4 linked regions of the Caenorhabditis elegans genome follow. The protein of the gene in region 3 purifies or fractionates together with the protein of the main gene of each other region. This does not show direct contact. Each region holds a gene or a part of one and is shown on either strand. Other genes may lie near its edges. The genes, in order: gck-3, F43C11.8, Y55F3BL.4 and pals-26.

Region 1 (4,963 bases), on a different chromosome or scaffold from region 3:
TGCATATTTTGCCCCCAATTTGTGACAAATTTATTGATTTTTTTCCCCAATTTTTCCGCTGTTGGAATAGAATTTCCCTGCCTTCTCATCTAAATTTATAATTTGTTCACTGAAAAAGTGGCATTTTTAAGGCGATTAAATCAATTCTATATTGTATTTATTTATTTCTGTGTGTGTGTTTTCAGACGAAAAGAGCGGTTTCCAATGTGTACCGGCTGAAAATATCTTTGATTTTTTTATGATTTTTTTCCTGCTCCTGAAAATTTGAAATTTGGAGCTTTTTTCCATGTAAAATTTCGCTGGAAATTACTGGTAGAAATTCCCCCTAAAAATGAAGAAAATCGATCGAAAGTCTTCAAAATGAAGTATTTTTACAAAAAAAAAAAACAGCGAAAAGCTGGATTTTTTTTGGTAAATAAACTATTTAGAAAATCCAGTTTTCGGACTAAAAAGACTCTTGTAAAAATACGATTTTCCCCAATTTGAAGGTTTTTTTGAAATGAAATTCTAGAGAGAAATTGGCTGAAAATGAACTTTTAGCGCGCAAAAATTTCAATTGAAACTTAAGATATCCGTAATTTTTACTATTTGGAGCAAAAATCCAGAAAAACACCGTCGTGTAATTATTAAAATCTCAAAAATAATTTTTAAGCTATAAAATCTCAATTTCCCGAGCTAAAAGCAACACGTTTTTTAGCTCAAAAATTGGATGATTTCAAGCCTGAAAAATCTTTAAATATTGTTCGGCCTTAAACCAAAATGTTCAACGGAGCTGAAAATTTTGTTTAGCGAAAAAAACATTTACGTATATATAACTTGGAAATTTCTTTGGAAATTGAATTTTTAAGCTCAAAAATCCAGATTTTTGAGTCATATTTGAGTGAAAACTTCCTTTTTTTTTCCTCTTCAACTGACACTGCAACTTTTTCCTCACGAGGGACGAGGAAAAGTGGTTTCTAGGCCATGGCCGAGGGGCCGACAAGTTTCAGCGGCCATTTATCTTGCTTTGTTTTCCGCCTGTTTTCTTTCGTTTTTCATCGATTTTTTCGTTTTTTCTTAATAAAACTGATAAATAAATATTTTTGCAGATGCTAAAACAATTTCCAAGTAAAAAAATTATGTATTCAGTGGGCAAGCAGCGGTGAAAGTGGTCAATGTAAAATGATGGATTACGGGAATACAAAACCTAAACTTTTTCTGAAACATGATACATATGCTGCTTAAATGCTGAGACTACCTGATTTTCATAACGAGTCTGCTGAAAAAGTTTTGAGGTTTCCAAAATTCAACTTTTTTGGTGAAAAAGTCGAGATTTTCGCACAAAAAGTTGAATTTTGAAAACCTCAAAACTTTTTCAGCGGTCTCGTTATGAAAATCAGGTAATTTCAGCATCTAAGCATCATATGTATCATGTTTCAGAAAAAGTTTAGGTTTTGTATTCCCGTAATCCATCATATTACATTGCCCTCTTTCACCGCTGCTTGCCCACTGAATACATAATTTTTTCACTTGGAAATTGTTTTAGCATCTGCAAAAATATTTATTTATCAGTTTTATTAAGAAAAAACGAAAAAAATCGATGAAAAACGAAAGAAAACAGGCGGAAAACAAAGCAAGATAAATGGCCGACTTGTCGGCCCCTCGGCCATGGCCTAGAAACCACTTTTCCTCGTCCCTCGTGAGGAAAAAGTTGCAGTGAACTATCGGACCCAAAATTAGACTGTGATTACAAAAAGTTAGTTTCCAGCCGTTTTTTTTTTTTTTTTTCAAATCTACTATATCCTTAATGATATTACTGATTAATGATATCAATTAATTTATTAATATTGTATTAAAAAATTTCAGAGTCTCATACGTGTGTTGTCCTGTGTACATCATCATCATCATCAACAATATAAATTAATATATAATAAATCAAAAATATAAAAAATGAGCTCTTCGAATCTGGCAGGAAACACGAATACTACAACTACATCATCAGCAGCTTCTGCAGCAGCTGCTCATTCAGCTGCAAATGCTTCAACAATAACATCAGAATACTCGACAACACAGACAACAACTGGAACATTTAACACTGATACATTATCGAGCATCGGATCAACGTCGACACTTCATGGTGCTTTTTTGGATTTTTTTTGCGGTCGAAAAATGTGAAAAATGGCAATTTCTAGCTTGAAATCTAATAATTTTTCCGAAGAAAAAGTAGAAATTTCAATAAAAATTGGGGTTTCCCGATTATTTTTGCAGGTCCAGTAAAATTTAATTTTTATTTAAATTTAAAAAATCGAAAATAATTTTTTTAAGTTAAAAATGAATTTTTAAAGTAAAAATTACATCTTTCTCCTTCTAAAGTTGGTATTTTGTGAGGAAAATAATTAATTTTTACAATAAAATTGAAATTTTCCGGTACAAAATGTATTTTTTGCTTTGAAAAATTGGTTTTTTGGGTATAAATAAATTTTTTTTGTAGGAAATTGAATTTTTCAACGGAATTGAAGTTTTGTAGTGAAAAATCAATTTTTCTCCTTAAAAAATTACATTTTTGAGAAAAAAAAACGAATTTTTACGATCAAATTTAATTTTTCTAATAAAAAATTCGATTTTTTTTTGCTCTAAAATGTACAATTTCTTCATGGAAATATAATTTTTTGGCGGAAAAATTCGATTTTCACTCTAAAAATTTAATTTAGCTGAAAAATTTGATTTTTCACATAAAAAAAACCAATTTTCACTTGGAAAACCCTAATATTTTCAATTAAAATCAATTAAATTTATAAAATCTACATTTCCGATTTTTGTGAAAAAAAAACAAATTTTTTTAATCGGAAAAATTGATTTTTCAAGAAGAAAAAAAGAGTTTTTCCTGTGAAAAGTCGAATTTTTCAACGAAATCTGTTTAAAAATGTCATTTTTGAGTACAAAATTCAATTTTTACTCTAAAATTTTCAATTTTTGTCGAGGAAATATGATTTTTTAGGCAGATAAACTCTATTTCTTCATTTGAAATTTATTTTTACTCCAAAAATGTTTTAATTTAGTTTAAAAATTCGATTTTTATACATTTTTTTTTGTTTAAAAAAAAAACGTTTTTCCCGGTAAAAATTACCTTTTTAAATGTGTAAAAAGTCGAATTTTTCAACGAAATTTAATTTTTGAGCTGAAAAAAAATCGAATTTTCTGCTTAAAAATTACATTTTTAAGTACATACAACATTGAATGTTCCATGTAAAAATTTTCAATTTTTACCTTAAAAACCAAAATGGTTTTTTGAAAAAACCAAAAAAAAAATTACAAAAAAGGTGAGAAAATTCAAAAATCGCGCAATTTTTAGGCCCAAAAAATGAATTTCACCCCTAATTTTTTTGTTGTTGCAGGATCACAACCATCCCAACCACCACCACCACCACCACCTCAAGTATCATCACCGATTGCGGCAGCTGCAGCAGCATCAGCTGCACTTGTTGCACAGCTTAATCCGGCCGATCGATGGCCAACAGAACCGTCGGCTTATAAGTTGGATGAGTCGATTGGAGTTGGAGCAACTGCTACCGTTTTTACTGTATGCTGCTTCTTTTTTGACTGAAAATTACAATTTCTATGTCAAAAAAAGCCGAATTTTTAGACAAAAATTCGGGTAAAAAAACGCAAAAAAAAATCCACTTTTTGTACTGAAAATCTCCGGAAAAGTGGCGAAATGGCGAAAATTACAATTTCTAACCGTCAAAAAAAATTTTTTTTTCTAAAAAAATTAAAATTTCCCGCCAAAAAATTTGAATTTCCCGCCGAAAAATTTTTTTTTCTCAGAAAATTTGAATCTCCCGCCGAAAATTTTTTTTTTCTCAGAAAATTTAAATTTCTCGCCAAAAATTTTTTTTTCTCAGAAAATTTAAATTTCCCGCCAAAAAAATTTTTTTTTCTCAGAAAATTTAAATTTCCCGTCAAAAAATTTTTTTTTCTCTCAAAAAATTTGAATTTCCCGCCAAAAAATTGTTTTTTCTCAGAAAATTTAAATTTCCCCCGAAAAAAAATTTTCGACGGGTCTCACCACGAAGTGAGCCGTGATTTTCCTCTCAAAAATGAGCAAAATAACGAAAAATCCATCAAAAATTGAATTTTTGCGTAAAAATTCCACATTTTTCAACTGGACACCTTCAGAAAAACGAATTTGAATCTGAAAAATTCAATTTTTCAGCCAAAATTTTAATTTGTCTTTGGAAAAACCCGGAAAAATCGCTAGAAAACCCCAAATTTCGGCGGGAAATTTAAATTTTTCCGAAAAATCTCGTTTTTTTCAAGAGAAAAGTGGTGAAAATGTTGATTTTCACCTAATTTTACTTTAAGGTGGTGAGTATCGAGACTTTTGTTTTATTAATGTTTTATTAAAATTGGTCCAAAACTACCGAATTTTGTAATGAGACGTTCTGAAAATTTCTCAAAAAAAAAGTTATGGCGGTTCGGCCGAATAAAGCTCATTTTTAGCTAAAATCAAAATTTTTTCCAACTTCTCAGTGCCACAATACCTGGAACCTAATTTTTATTTATTCATCACTTTTTAATAAATATTGTGGTTTTTGAGTGGGCGTTTATTCGTTGATTTAAGTACATATGTCAGTGGGGCACAAATAAAAGTTAAATTTTGTACCCCAAAGACCATAAATGTACCTAAATCAACGAATAAACGCCCACTCAAAAACCACAATATTTATTAAAAAGTGATAATTAAATAAGAATTAGGTTCCAGGCATTGTGACACTGAGAAGTTGGAAAAAATATTGATTTTAGCTGAATATGGGCTTTATTTTGCCAAACTTTGAACCGCCATAACTTTTTTTTGAGAAATTTTCAGAATGTCTCATTACAAAATTCGGAGATCTGGACCAAATTTGGGTCTAAAAAAGCAAAAGTCTCAAATTTCGGTCGGCTCTACCTTTAAAATTCCCACAATTTTTTTGCAGGCCTACTG
Region 2 (3,938 bases), on a different chromosome or scaffold from region 3:
TTGGAGTTCACGCCGGACACTCGAAGGGCCTCCTACAGACGGAAGCTTTGAAATTGAGAACGTTGCTCAAAGATAAGCTTTTAAAGTCCGAAGATCAGATTGTTCAAATTGACAAGAACATTGAAGAGGTTGACAGGTTAGTTTAAAAAGCGGTAGATCACAATTTTAGCTCGCTGAAATTTCAGCGCCCAGCAAACAAATCAAGTAGATGGGAAGGTGTTTCAAGATAAAAAAGATTTGGTTAGTGATTTTTTTTTGAAACGGGGACGAAATACAATTCCAGAACATTTTCAGATATCCGTCTACTATACCTCAATACGAGAGACCTTAGATGCCCAGGAAGCCCTTGCAAATCAAAAACTACGCGAAATTGCAGAATCCAATTCAGCTAGCAATAAATTACTACTAGAAGAATTGTCGGAATCCCTGGAAACCCAGAAATTGAAAAACGAGAAATTAAAGTCGTTTCTGGGAATGAGCAACGCGGATTTGTTAGCTCTAAATTCAGAAATTCAGCTCTGGGATGACTCGGAAAATACAGAAGTTGAGCCTATTCAGTTTGATGTAGCATTAAATTTTCCAGAAGTGAACAGGTTAGCTGTGGGTAAGTGGATTTGGAAGGAAGTTGGTAGATCAATGTCAGGAAGTTTTGTAGATGTGGCAAATGCTTCAATGTCAAGCTCTCTGGAGCCAGATGTAGGTTTTAATGATAATTTAGCATTTGTATTATAGGTACATGAATTTCAGAATATAACCCTGTGGCTTTGAATGTTCCAAACAAGGCAGTTTTTTGGTTTTAAAGTTTTCAATCATTTTTTACTTTGTACAAATACCGATAAACAACCGAAAATTCAACTCTCCAATCCTGATTTTTTTGGCCCTTTTCGGGCAATATAAATTTTTGAAATGTCTAATTTTTTGGTATTTTATTTTTCTGAGTTCTCATATTTTCTAGGATTTATTTTTTATCTCTTTTTTCTCCGCCTAGCCTACATTTAAGCTTAAGTCTAAGCCTAAGCTTCATCCTAAGCCAAAGGCTAAGCCTAAATCAAAGCCTAAGCATAAGCCTAAGCCTAAGTCTCGAAAACTTGAAAATCGGAAAACAAAAATTTACGTTTTTTCGATTTTCCGGAAAATCCAAAAATCGAAAAAAAAAATGATCTAAAAATTAATCATAAAATACGATTTTTATCTAATTTTTTTTCTATTGATAAGAGAAAAAAATTTCGAAAAATCAAAAAAAAAAACGAAAATTTTCGATTTTTCGATTTTTCTAAAATAAGCCCGCTCCCGTACAAACAGTGCTATAGGTGCTCGGCAGGTTTCAGGCAGGCGCCAGGCTCTGAAAACGTTTTATTTTACGAAAAACTATTACGAAATCCGTAGTAACTGACCACATAGAATTAGCAATAGTGTTGAAAATGGTGTATCTAAACTGATATGAGTCAGCAAAAAATATTTACCGGTTTCCGTGTATTCTTGGTCACCAAATTGTTATCGTCTTATCGCAGTGTCAGCGGGAGAACTCCCAAGACCATTCGTTTATTTTTCCAACCCTCCGTACAGTTCCGAAATGTCATTTATTGAGTGTGAAATTTGCAACGAAGATTTCTCAAGTGCCACCGATGAAAATATTCCTAGGATTTTGAGTAAGCTTTTGCTACCTTTCCTAAAATTAAAAAATAAAAATTCAGGATGTGGCCACACAATTTGCCATGGTTGTGCAGAAAAATTGCTCCAAAACTCTATGATTTTATGTCCATTCTGCCGGGAAGCAACTAATGTCAGTACAGTGAAGGATTTGCAGAAGAATTTTGCATTGTTACAGGCAGTTGAACACGCTAAGACTAGAACTGAAGAGGTTTTTTTTTCTAGAAATAAAGTTATACATATAAATATATATATATATATATATACATATATATATTTATATATACATATATATATTTATATACAAATATAAAATTTTTCAGAAAGATCCCATTGATTCACCGCCAAAATGCGCTTCTCACCAGTACAATTTTGCGGAATTTGTGTGCATTGTGAGTTCTTTATAGGTTTTGATAGGCCCCAAAATGTCAACTGTAAAAAATTTTTTAAAAAACTTACTATTAGCAGCCGACAACTCGCCGGTTTCTGAGAGTGCGAGGTTAATAGCCAAAAAATAATGGTACGTGGGAGCCTAGTTCAGGCCAAAGTCTTGGCCTAGATTTTGCTCAACTTTTGTGGTCAAGCTCGGCATTTGGCTATAAATTCTTGGCCAAGTTTTGCCCAAAAAATATTAGCTTGGATCAGAAGTTTGCTAAACTTGGGCAAAACTTTGGCAAAACTCGGATTCAGGCTGCACCAAAGGTTTGGCCCAAACTTCTCTTATTTCGTTTCAAACTTATGTAGAAGTTTGGCAGAGTTGGTTGAACCTTTTTTTAAACTTTGGTGGAGTTTGAATCCAAGTTTTGCCCAACTTTTGCTCAACGTCTGAAACAAGTTATTATTTTTTGCGCCAAACTTGGGCCAGAAGCTAGAGCCAAATGCACCTCTTCTTGCCTGAGAAACTAGCATTCTTTCCAGGAGCCCACCTGCTCATCTAGCGATAAGCTCATGTGCCGTACCTGCGAAGAGTTTGGAGCTCACGCCGGACACAATCGAGGCCTACTACAATCAGAAGCGGCAAAGTTGAGACAGTTTCTGAGCGGGAAGCTTTCAAGATCCGAAGACCTGGCAAGTAAAATTGATGCGAATATCGAAAAGATCGGAACAGCTCAGCTAACAAATCTCGACGATGGGGAGGTATTTCAAGAGAAAAAGGTTTCGATAATAGCCTTCTACGCTTCAATACGAGAAACCTTGGATGCTCTCGAAAACGATGCTCTTGCGACGCTTCAGAACATCGCGGAAACTAACTTTTTCACGAACGACCTGCTCATCGCAGAGCTATCGGAATCCTTGAACCGGCAAAAGCGAAAAAGTGCGGAGCTGAAGCTGTTTATGAAAATGAGCAATGCAGATTTGCTCGCGGTGAATTCTGCGCTGGAAGTGAGCAGCGAGAATGAGCTCTGGACTGAATTTGCTGATGTTGAGCCTGAAGTTTTTGACGCAGCACTGATTTTTCCAGAGATGGATAGGCTTGTCATACGTAGGTCTTTGAAAAAATATTGATTGGAAAAATTGGATTTTTCAGAAGTCACGAAAGTTTCTAGAATTGACAACAATTTGTCTCGCGAGTTTGAAGAATTTTGCAGGGCTAGGAGGTAAGCTAACGAGAGAAATATGAATTTTTATATAAAAGTTTTTTTTTTCAGACAACCTGCTAGCTGCTCTGATTGATGCCAACGACGGTTTTATAGGATATTTAATTGAAAATGTTTGTACATAAATAAAAATGTGATTGATGATTTTGTTGCGCTTCAAAAGCGAACAGACATGGGCCAATCTTTTTCAGAGTTTTTTTTCTACAAATTCGGCAAATCGGCAAATTTGCCGGTTTGCTGATTTGCCGGAAATTTTCAAATGCGGCAATTTGCTGGAGATTTTCAATTTTGGCAATTTGCCGATTGCCGGAAATTTTTAATTTCAGCAATTTGCCGGTTTGTCGATTTGCCGAAAATTATCAATTTCGGCATTTTGCTGGTTTGCCAATTCATCGGTATTTTTTAATTCCGGCAATTTTCCGGTTTGCCGATTTGAAGACATTTTCAACTGCGTCAATTTGCCGGAAATTTTCAATTTTGGCAATTTCAAAATAGATATAAGAAGATTCATAGGATGCGTACAATTTTACCGATTAAAATTGAAATTCTGAAACTTCCAAAAAAATGTGCAAGACCACAATTTGGCAAAAAATGTTCCACAGTTGCCGTTTTTCCGGCAAATTCGGCAAACTGGTAAGTTAGTTTTAAATTCCGGCAATTTGCCGATTTGCCGATTTGCCGGAAATTTTC
Region 3 (3,481 bases):
TGAAGATCTCGGTAAGCTGAAATCGAATTTTTCTGAAAATTTGAAAAAAAATGAAAAATTTCAAAAAAAAAACATTAAAAAAAATTTTTTCAGACAGCCGAACGATGCATTGGAGAGCTATCCGGGACCGATTTGAGTGCCGATATCAGTGGAAATGCACCATTTGGAGTGTTCACGCATAGGTTGATACCTGGAAATTTTCGAAAAATGGAGCAAAAATCTGGAAATTTGCGGATTTATCGAGAAAAAAAATATAAAATTACGAAAAAAAAAATTTCAGAGGAAATTTCTCAAAAACGTAAACTGTTGAAACGAATTTGAGGAAACTTTAATTTTTTGTCCAAAAAAAAAAAATTAAAAATCGGTTTTTTCCGAATTTTCTACGATATTTTCCTGAAATAAATCGAAAATTGTGAATTAAAATTAAATTAATCTAACAAATAGCATAAATATGGAAAAATAGTGAATTTTCAAGAATTTTGAAGTTTTCAAAAATTAAAAACTTTCAAAACATTTTCAGACAGTTTTCTAATAAAAACTGTTTTTTTTTTTACAAATTTAGCAAAAAAACTAAAAGTTTCGGTCATTTTTTGGCCGATATTTCAGTGAAAAATTCAGAAAAAAAAAGCAATTTTTATCGCAAAAAAAGATGTTTTAAGGGTATTTACATGTGAGAGGTCTCTAATTTTCGCGAAAAAATCAGAGTTTTAGAGAAAATAAATTCTCAAAATTGAAAATTATGAATATTTAAATTTTTCTCAATTTTCAGATACCCCACACCAATCTCCCAGAAAACCGGTGCTCGCGGAGCCAAAATCTTCTTCTACACTGCAAATTTATCGACAATTCCGACGGAATTCCAAGTAAATCCAGATGACGTCACTGATTATCAATGGGTGAATCGAGAGGAGTTTTGGAAGACTGTACCTGGAACTGAATATAAGAAAGCTGCGAAATTTGCATTTTTGGAATAATTTAATTGATTTTTTTTTGTGTTAAAATTGTGAGAAAATCGACGACAGAAAAATGTGAAAAATTGAAGAATTTTGAGTGAATATTGAATTTTCAGCTCTAAACAATTCGGTGGCCGATCTTTTTCTAGTCCGCTCTCTCAAATTTGTCTTTTTATTTGGAATTTTGGTAGAAGATCTTAAAAATTACTGAAAATTTAATTTTTTTCTGAAAAATTCGATTTTTTTGCGAACAAAAAATCTGGTGGCCGAGCTTTTTCTACTCCCTGAGCTCAAATTTGCGAATTTTCTTAAGTATTTAAAATCTGGAAGGCTTCAAAAAAATTTTTTTGGTGACCTAATTAAGCTTAAAATCTTCAATTTCCGTACATTTTCCCTTTATTTTTATCGATTTTTCTCATTTGTTCGTAGTTTTTATTTTTTAGAAGGCTTTTATTATTATTTGTTGATTGTTTGATTCAATAAAAAATCGATTTTTGAAAGAAAAAAAACAATTTTCGAAATTTTTCTGTGGGTTTTTTAATTCCTGAAAAAAATTACTGAAATTTCAAGTCGGGAGCCTGGTTTTCGGCAAATTCGCGATTCTAGTCCTCCATTGCAGAAAAAGTTAGGTCACCAATAAGATTTTCACTTAAAATATCAATTTTGTGTCAAAATTTTAAATTTTTATGTGAATTCAGCAGACTTTAAACCAAATTTTAAAATAAAAACCAAAAATTCAAAAAAAAAATTTTTTTGGAAATTTTGAAAAAAAAAATATTTTGTGAAAATTTCAGAACTATCTTTTCAAAAATTTCATGGTTTTTACACATAATCAACTGATTAAAGCTTCTTCTTCCATATTTTCAGCCAAAAAAACCAAAAAATGGAAGACGACGGATTCACCCTGGTCACTGGTAGAAAAGCCGGAAAACAGTCGGCGAAATTTGTCAGTTTTCTCCAAAAAACAAATTATCGATTTTTTACAAATTTAAATTTCAGAAAAAAACAGAAAATGGAAAGCATATTCGAGTTGATGGAACACTGGAAAGTATCGAAAAAGCTATGGAATTGGCGAAAAATGGGATTCTGAAAAGCGGATTGGGGTAGGTTATGGTCCTTTTTGTGAACAAAAAACCGAGATTTTGATAAGAAATTAGGTTCTGAAACTGAAAAACATAAAAATTTAAGATTCAGAAATTAAAATTTTAGAATTTCGAAAAAATTTTTTTTTGAAAATAAAAAAAAATTTTTTAAACAAATTCAATTTTTTTAAGAAAACTATTTTTTTCGCAAATTTTTTTTTATTTTAGCAAAAAAAAATTTAATTATTTTGTTTCCAAAATCTCAAATTTTCCAGCACCTGGCTCCACCACAAGCTCCAACTCCTCATCTCCCCCCACCAAAAAATCCAAACCATCTACGTCATCGGAAACGGTCATTTCGACGGCTCAACGGAGCCCGGAGCCCACCAACTTGCTCTTTTCCTGGAAATTTCTGAGCAATTCCAGTGTCCCATCATTTTCCAAGAGCCAGTGTGCTCTGCCACGGAGCTCAAATGGCTCGAATCAAAAAACGTTGAGATTCGTCGAGAAATGGACGCAAAAATCGATATTTGCGAGGAAAAATCGATATCATCGATGTTATCGATTTTCGCATTCATCCACGGAGAACACGAGATTTTCAACGAATTTTTAGAATTTAACGCCGGAAAAATCGATAATCTAATTGTGATCGGCAACGACTACGGCGGTGCCAACTGGGAATTGTCGAAAAATCGCGAAAAAATGCCTAAAATCACGGAATTTTGCGAAAAATCGATAATCACCGCGTTTCCGGCGATCTACGAACCGAATTCCAACGCGTTTTCCAGTACTGTTATTATGTCTTCTTGTGATAATCAATAAACTTTTTTGTTTAAAAAATATCGATTTTTAAAACCATTTTTTCGTTTTTTTTTTGTAGAAAAAATAAATTTTTTTTAATTCGATTTTTCATAGTTTATTCTGTAAAAAAACGATTTTTCCGTAAAAATCGGAGTTTTCATTGATGGTTTTTTTTTGTTGGAAAAATCGATTTTTTATTAATGTCGTCTGAAAATCGATTTTCAAACAACACTCCGATGTTCCGCTAGCACGCCAGTGCTCTACTACCTTCGACAAGACTTTTTTTCTAAAAATCAATGTTTATGACAACAAACAAGGTACAATGCGTGAATTATTCCTGGAATAACAAAGAGACATGTGAGAAGTATGCTGAGCAGCAAATGGAGCCCACAACCAGACGTCAGAAGTACGGAAATTGGCTGAAAAACTCAAAAAACTCAAATTTCCGTCTTGATTGATATTGGGTTTCAAATGACACTCCGATATGGTGGTGCGCGTTGTTTAGTGCGCAGGAGATTTGGCGGGAATTCAAATTTTTAACGTTAAAGCTCTCCAAAAACACTGCAATAAGCAACGCCGAATATCGGTTTATCGATTTTCCACTAGTCATCTTAAATTCGATAATTTCCGCAACGATGCTCCAGT
Region 4 (6,254 bases), on a different chromosome or scaffold from region 3:
ACAACCGATACATCCTTCGTGTCATTCACAGCTACAAATATTTTCAAAATTCAAATTTTGCTGCGTGAATCAAAAATTGCAGTTTCAATCCTCCTCTTTGATCTACTCAAGGTCTCTCAAGCATTCAAGAAGATATGGATGTAAGTTGAAATTTAACACTAAATCTTCAATTTACGGAATAGATTTGATTATAAAAAATTAAAATTTGAATTCACATAAACTTCCAAACTAAATTTGTCGAAACAAAGTTGTCACTTCAAAACAAGTTAACGAATTCCGTCGAATGAAAACCGCAAACATTTAAACGAACAATTAACTTAACCTGAAATCTTTTGCAGAGTAATTTGAATGGAAATCAAAAGACACTAGCCGAAAGTCATACTAGAGCCGGCCAAATTCAAACACAAAGTGTGGGACATTTAGAGAGCATCAAATTGGATATGTTCTCTCAAAGGCAGTTTCTTCATGAGAAGAGCATCAAAACAGAGCAAGAACGTGCCTTAGAAATGAAAACTGTTAACGATGAAAATTTGAATATCGAATTGGAAATGAAGCAAAATAGAATGAATCACCAACAAAGAATTCAAAAGCAGAAATTATTGGACAGAAATGACGAATTGAAGTATAATTTGGGATGTGAAGAAGATGCGAAAGAGAGACATTTTATCAGTAGTGTTGAGGATACAAGAGCTGCTGGACAGAAGCTGTTCAGTTCGTTGAATCATCTTTGCTCAAGTGTACATTGTCTACAAACAAGCAACAATTCAAATAATCGGAATGATGTTGAAAAGAAAATTGGTAGTTGTATGGTGAGAACATATTGAAGTGTTAAATGAAAGAAACCTTAACATCACTTTGAAAGTGGTGTTTTGGTTAAATACTTTTTGTCACACTTGGCAATCTAACTTTCTATCCAAATATTGCAAAAAATGGGAATATATCTATGTATTTGGAAAAAGTGTGCTTAATTTGAGCAAGACTTTACTGAGTCCGGGCCGGAGTCTCGTCTTCGGTTCAACTTATGCATATCTTCTTCCAAGACTTTAACTGTGTCTCCCTTGATTTTGGATATGATGTCAGTAAGAAATTCATTTTAGGGCCAAGAAATATTCACTTCATTCAAAGATTGGCAACACTTGATAAGAACAAGTTTGATCCAACTCTTGCAAATGTTTTACCAATGTTGAAAACGGCACAAAAAGTCTGCCTAATACATTGACAAGGTTTAACTTTGATTTCTGAGTACGTTTCTATAATTTAATACGCCTGAAAATACGGATTTGGTTAATGACTTCTAATTAACGGTCAGTATCTAACTTATTTCAGGCCTATATTGGCAAAGTCGAAAAGACAATAATTCCTTTCTAGGATGCAGTGCGAACTTTACAAGACCAATATAAGCTGGAACTGTGAATGTTCAAGAAATTCACAACAAGACAGGCACGCTGGAACAGAGCATCTCTCGATTTCAAAATTATTTGAAAGATGGTTACATTGATAATAATATTTCAACCTACAAAGATGTTTTGGAATCAACATCAGGCTTGATTGAAATTGTGAATTCACTTCCATCAATTGCTAAAAGTAATCACGGTACAACTGCTATAACTGAGAGTTTTAAGCAAACTATTCAAAGTTCAAACAGCGATATATGTGTTCAACAATCTACAACTCTTGTTGTACAAGTTACTGAAAACGTTGAAGTGTCCGTTGGAAAAAGAGATAAGCTAATAATTCTTAGTATTATTCCATTCTTCGTCTGTGCGCTAATTGATTTGTTTCGTTAATGGCAATAATTTTTTTCAAATTGTGTTTACCTTTGTTTTAAGGTGTTCAAAAAATTTATGCCCCGTAGTATTATTCAAATTTACTGTTAAATTGCATTCCCTCTATTCTTATATATGTATACTGAATAAATTATTGATATTGAGGCACATATTTATTGGAATTCAAAACGTGTTTGGCATGGAACACCTATGTATCTTTATATTTTGCTATTGAAAATTAGACATCACCGTCTTCATTAGATATTTCATTCGGTCAAGGCGTAACAGGGCCTCTCACTCGCACTATAAAAGCAGCGTTTTGAGAATATTTTCAGCACTGTTGTTGAAAGTTATTGAACTTTGGCAATAAATTTTATTTATCTCCAGGCTCAGAAATGTGATTTTCCTAACAATAAACCTAAAAATATAAACAAATTTGAGACTTTCTTCCGGGGGCGTTATCCGGGGACTATACTCCTTCACTATTAAACATACATACATATATACCAAATTATATCTCTATTCCTTTTGTAATATTGCCCCACGTTGTTCAAATTTGACTTTTATAGTTCCATTGTCGTGTGTTCTATCAATAGCTTGTCAACTGACAAAATTTTTTAAAATTATATTTCTATTTATAGTTTGTCGCTTATTATTTATTACTAGGTCCCAAACGAAGTATAACTATTCTAAGTACAGCAGTGAGATGCAAAACTAATAGAAAAATGCGGTAAGTACAATAATAATTTATTCGATAATCTTATATGTAGTTTAATTTTTTGAAATATGTTTAAAATTGTCTAATTCAAATGCACAAAACAAATGTATACCTACAAAATCAAGAGAATTATAGAGGCTGGCTGGGCTAAATAACTTTTATTACGATTTAAGAGACATTTGCCGTTTGTTCAGAGGAAACGGCTTATAAACAATGAAAGAGGGCGGAGAAATAAATAGATAACACAAATGTCGTGGGATGGCAAAACTCTATATTGCGATATCAATTTAGACAATCAACAATATCTGACTATGAGTCATGACGGAAGGGCGAAGTCTTCCCCATGATGCTGCATCCGTTCTAATGACTAATATTATTTTTGAAAATCTGCATTCTCAGCAAACAACGATTCTTATCATCAAAATGCATGTGTCGCTTTAGAATATAAAACTGAGGAAATGTTTACCATTTTGTCTCCAGGTTCCTTAGTCTTCCTCACTCTTGTTTTTCTTTAAAACAACGGATTTTAGCGCCAGTAAAATCTATTAAGACTAAAATTTCAAACAGATAAAAACTATTAGGCAAAATGAGAATTTATCTGACATTTGAGTAAATGTAAAACTTTAAGTTTCCCTTGCAAAAAAGATGAAGGTTTTCATTGCTATGTCTTAATTTGTTATCACAATTTGAATTTGAATTTGTTTACACCAGTACCTTGCTAGCCGTAAAATGTTGTTTTTCCTCTTACCCATTCTATTTTTCTGTTGGTTTCTGAATTGACATTTTTCAGTTTCAACTTTTCTATTCGGCAAATTCAAAGAGACAATCATGGGAGTAAGTTGAAGTTTCTTCTTTTGTAAATATAATCTTAGATTTAATAGATATTAAATAATTTGAATTATAAAATTTTTAAATATACATATATACATATCATTTGCAAAATATTCCAAAACTGATCATTTTTATTGTTAGTCAAAAAGTTGTAAAAACTCAGTTTTCACCTACCACAATTTTGGATATGAACCAACAAAAAAGTTTTCCATGATTTTGAAATTTTACTTCCTCATTTATTGTTTGTTTTAACATTTTAGAGGTTTGAAAAACTGAAATTTTTGAAACTTTTTGGCACATTACCAAAACGTAGTGTGAATTTTTCGAAAAATCTGAAAGTTTTTTGGAAATGCTGAAATTTTAAAACGATGATCGGTGATTTCAAACTAATCCCCACTAAAAAACATTTTGAAGTCAAAAATTAACAAATTTTGAAACAATGGAAATACATTTTTGAACATGTGAAAAAATATTTCTAGGGCGGTGGTTCCAAAGCTGACAATGAGGCCATTGCTCAAGACATGCGAAATAACATGCAACCTGAACGTGAGCGCCGGCAAAGGGAGCTTGAAGCTTTAGAAAGGGAAGCGGAAAGACAGGCAGCAGCACGAGCAGAATTGAGAAGACAAGAGGAAGCAAGTCAGATTGCTGAACAAAACAGGAAGGATGAAATGATGAAGGTTTGAGATTTCCAATAACTTTTAATCTGGAAAAATGATTTCAGAAAATATTGGAGCAAAGTCAGAAGACTCGGGCAGAAGATCAAGCAAGAGCTGATCAAATTCGAACTCAAAACGAGGAGAATTTGAAAGAAGCAGTTGCAAGTGGAAATCAGCTTCTTGATAATCAGAGAATTGTGAATCAAGCAGAAGTTACAAAACGATTGACGGATCATCAAAATTTAATGACACGGGAACAGGGAAGACTGGCTGAAACTGAAAAGAAAATTGAGGAAAATGTTGTGGATATGAAGAATAAGGTTAGTTGGAGATAGGAATTTTAATTTCAAATTAATTATTTAAAAAAATAATTAAGACCGTCAGGAAGAGTAAATAAAGAAAAAATAAGATTCGAGTCACGTTTTGATCGAAAAAAAATATATTATGCGACTTTTCCAAAGTTTGTATAATATTTTTGAAAACTTCTGAAACTTCCTGCTTAAAGAAATTTTAGAATTATTTATATAGCTTCTATAATATAATAGCTTCTATACTAGAATAATAGCTTCTGATCTCCATAAATATTTCTGGAATAAATCGGAAATTTCCGAAAGTATCTAGAAAGATTTCGACTTTTTTGGAAAATTCTGAAAATTTTTACTATATTTCATAAGGCTCTAGGACTTTATTGAAAAAATAGTCTAACATTTACGCAAAAGCTATTTATTTTTGGAAAATTTGAAAAATCATTTTAAAATTATATTTTCAGAAAGCAGAAGCTCAAGAAAAGTTGCACAGCGAGAAGAAAGAATACGATGAGAAAAAGCTCCAGAAATCTGAAGAAAATGCTCTGAAAATTGAAGATTTGCACAAACAAACTGCACAACTTGAAATTGAAAAAGAAAATAATGCAATCGAGCACCAGAATAGAATCCATGGAATGGAGAAGCTATTTAAATTGGATAAATACAATATTCATGTGGCTGGTGGCAAAGACACTCGTGAAAGTCATTTTATTGACGCTGTTAATAATACACGAAGTGCTGGTGGAGAACTATCGAATGCAGTGGTTTCTTTGGGTTCAAACGCATATTGTCTACAAAAGGGAAAAGAAGCGAAGAACGTAGTAAAGCATATTAATTCATGCAAGGTATGATTGCGAAAAGTTCATGCCTGCCTACCCGCCTATCACAGCAATTCATATTCCAACTTTCAGACATCTCTACGTCGGATCAAGGAGAAGCTCAACAATCTGAAATATTCTGCAAGAACAATCAGAGATCAAGATGAATCAGAAAACGTCAATGTTGCGAAATGTCATGAAGTAGCACTCTACATTCAAGAAGAAGCATCACCTCTGGAACAGGCTATTTTTCGATTTGAGAGTTCTTTGGAATTTGATCCAATCGAAAACTCCATTGAATTATATGATGAGATTCACAGACTGAATGCAAGTTTGTACAAAACTGTGAACTCGCTTCCGTTGGTTTCTCGAAGTTATCATGCAATTACTGAAATCTCCAGAAGTACTGCACGCGCAGTTCTTAATGCTGATAATTCGAAACTTAGTATTCAACAATCTGAAACTGTTGTTGTGCAGCAGAGCATTGAGGATGGAGAAATGGAAGTGGATGCAGTCGTGGAGGAAATTCAAGCGATTGAGCAATAAATTGAACAATATTTTCAGTTACGTTAATCCAACCTACACCCTACACCTTACACCGACTTATAAATTTCTTTTCTAAAAACAAGTGGTCTGAAGGTATTGAGAAGGCTGTGTATACGTGTCAACTCACAAGCGCAGTCCGGCCACTGCACCGCGCGGTGGCTTTTGTCTGCTACCTTTCGGTCCTGAACCATCCACCACTCCTTATGCACCCGGGACTGACCATCTTCCGACAGTCATCCCCTGGTGACGCAGCGCTTGGCACGGACGCTCGGTCGACGTTGACAACGACATACACAGGACTCCTCCTCTCACTCCATCCACACTTATCTACCGTCAAGAAGCTGACTCACAAGCGCCCGCCACGACGCTCGGTGGTTTTTCCCGACTAGCGAGAAAATATAACAGAGGGGTATATCGAGAGAGTAATGGACGGAATAGAGACGACAGAGAACATGACAGTCGTTTACCACGTCCGATTTTGCAGGGGTTTGCGGAAAATTGTTTTATTAGAAATTTCTCTTTAAACAAATTATATATATATATATATATATATATATATATACAAAAATACAAAATATACAAAAACTCTTTCTTTTTAATTGTAAATTTTA

What was found.
Region 1: the proteins of Y55F3BL.4 (region 3) and gck-3 fractionate together in Caenorhabditis elegans (co-fractionation; one large-scale study listed by BioGRID). This does not show direct contact.
Region 2: the proteins of Y55F3BL.4 (region 3) and F43C11.8 fractionate together in Caenorhabditis elegans (co-fractionation; one large-scale study listed by BioGRID). This does not show direct contact.
Region 4: the proteins of Y55F3BL.4 (region 3) and pals-26 fractionate together in Caenorhabditis elegans (co-fractionation; one large-scale study listed by BioGRID). This does not show direct contact.

Annotation. Positions count from the first base shown.
Region 1 is NC_003283.11:17,963,730-17,968,692, reverse strand, and holds the start of gck-3 (Germinal center kinase 3), read left to right. Parts: upstream 1-1,929; coding exon 1,930-2,116; intron 2,117-3,374; coding exon 3,375-3,559; intron 3,560-4,955; coding exon 4,956-4,963. UniProt on the Caenorhabditis elegans protein: Plays a role in osmotic stress responses by regulating ion homeostasis and by controlling cell volume via the phosphorylation-mediated inhibition of the chloride channel clh-3.
Region 2 is NC_003280.10:2,330,947-2,334,884, forward strand, and holds F43C11.8 (RING-type domain-containing protein), read left to right. Parts: upstream 1-1,573; coding exon 1,574-1,649; intron 1,650-1,694; coding exon 1,695-1,861; intron 1,862-1,973; coding exon 1,974-2,042; intron 2,043-2,568; coding exon 2,569-3,133; intron 3,134-3,178; coding exon 3,179-3,248; intron 3,249-3,299; coding exon 3,300-3,324; 3' UTR 3,325-3,392; downstream 3,393-3,938. Other genes in the region: ZK1240.1 (RING-type domain-containing protein), read left to right, coding at 1-136, 186-240, 295-604, 656-696, 748-768.
Region 3 is NC_003282.8:803,297-806,777, forward strand, and holds Y55F3BL.4 (SRR1-like domain-containing protein), read left to right. Parts: upstream 1-1,805; 5' UTR 1,806-1,836; coding exon 1,837-1,899; intron 1,900-1,952; coding exon 1,953-2,056; intron 2,057-2,310; coding exon 2,311-2,857; 3' UTR 2,858-2,940; downstream 2,941-3,481. Other genes in the region: mrpl-46 (Large ribosomal subunit protein mL46), read left to right, coding at 94-182, 770-974; Y55F3BL.6 (YqaE/Pmp3 family membrane protein), read right to left, coding at 3,130-3,255.
Region 4 is NC_003281.10:4,373,191-4,379,444, forward strand, and holds pals-26 (Protein containing ALS2cr12 (ALS2CR12) signature), read left to right. Parts: upstream 1-2,133; 5' UTR 2,134-3,312; coding exon 3,313-3,318; intron 3,319-3,794; coding exon 3,795-3,995; intron 3,996-4,039; coding exon 4,040-4,294; intron 4,295-4,743; coding exon 4,744-5,124; intron 5,125-5,190; coding exon 5,191-5,643; 3' UTR 5,644-5,717; downstream 5,718-6,254. Other genes in the region: B0284.3 (RRM domain-containing protein), read right to left, coding at 6,252-6,254.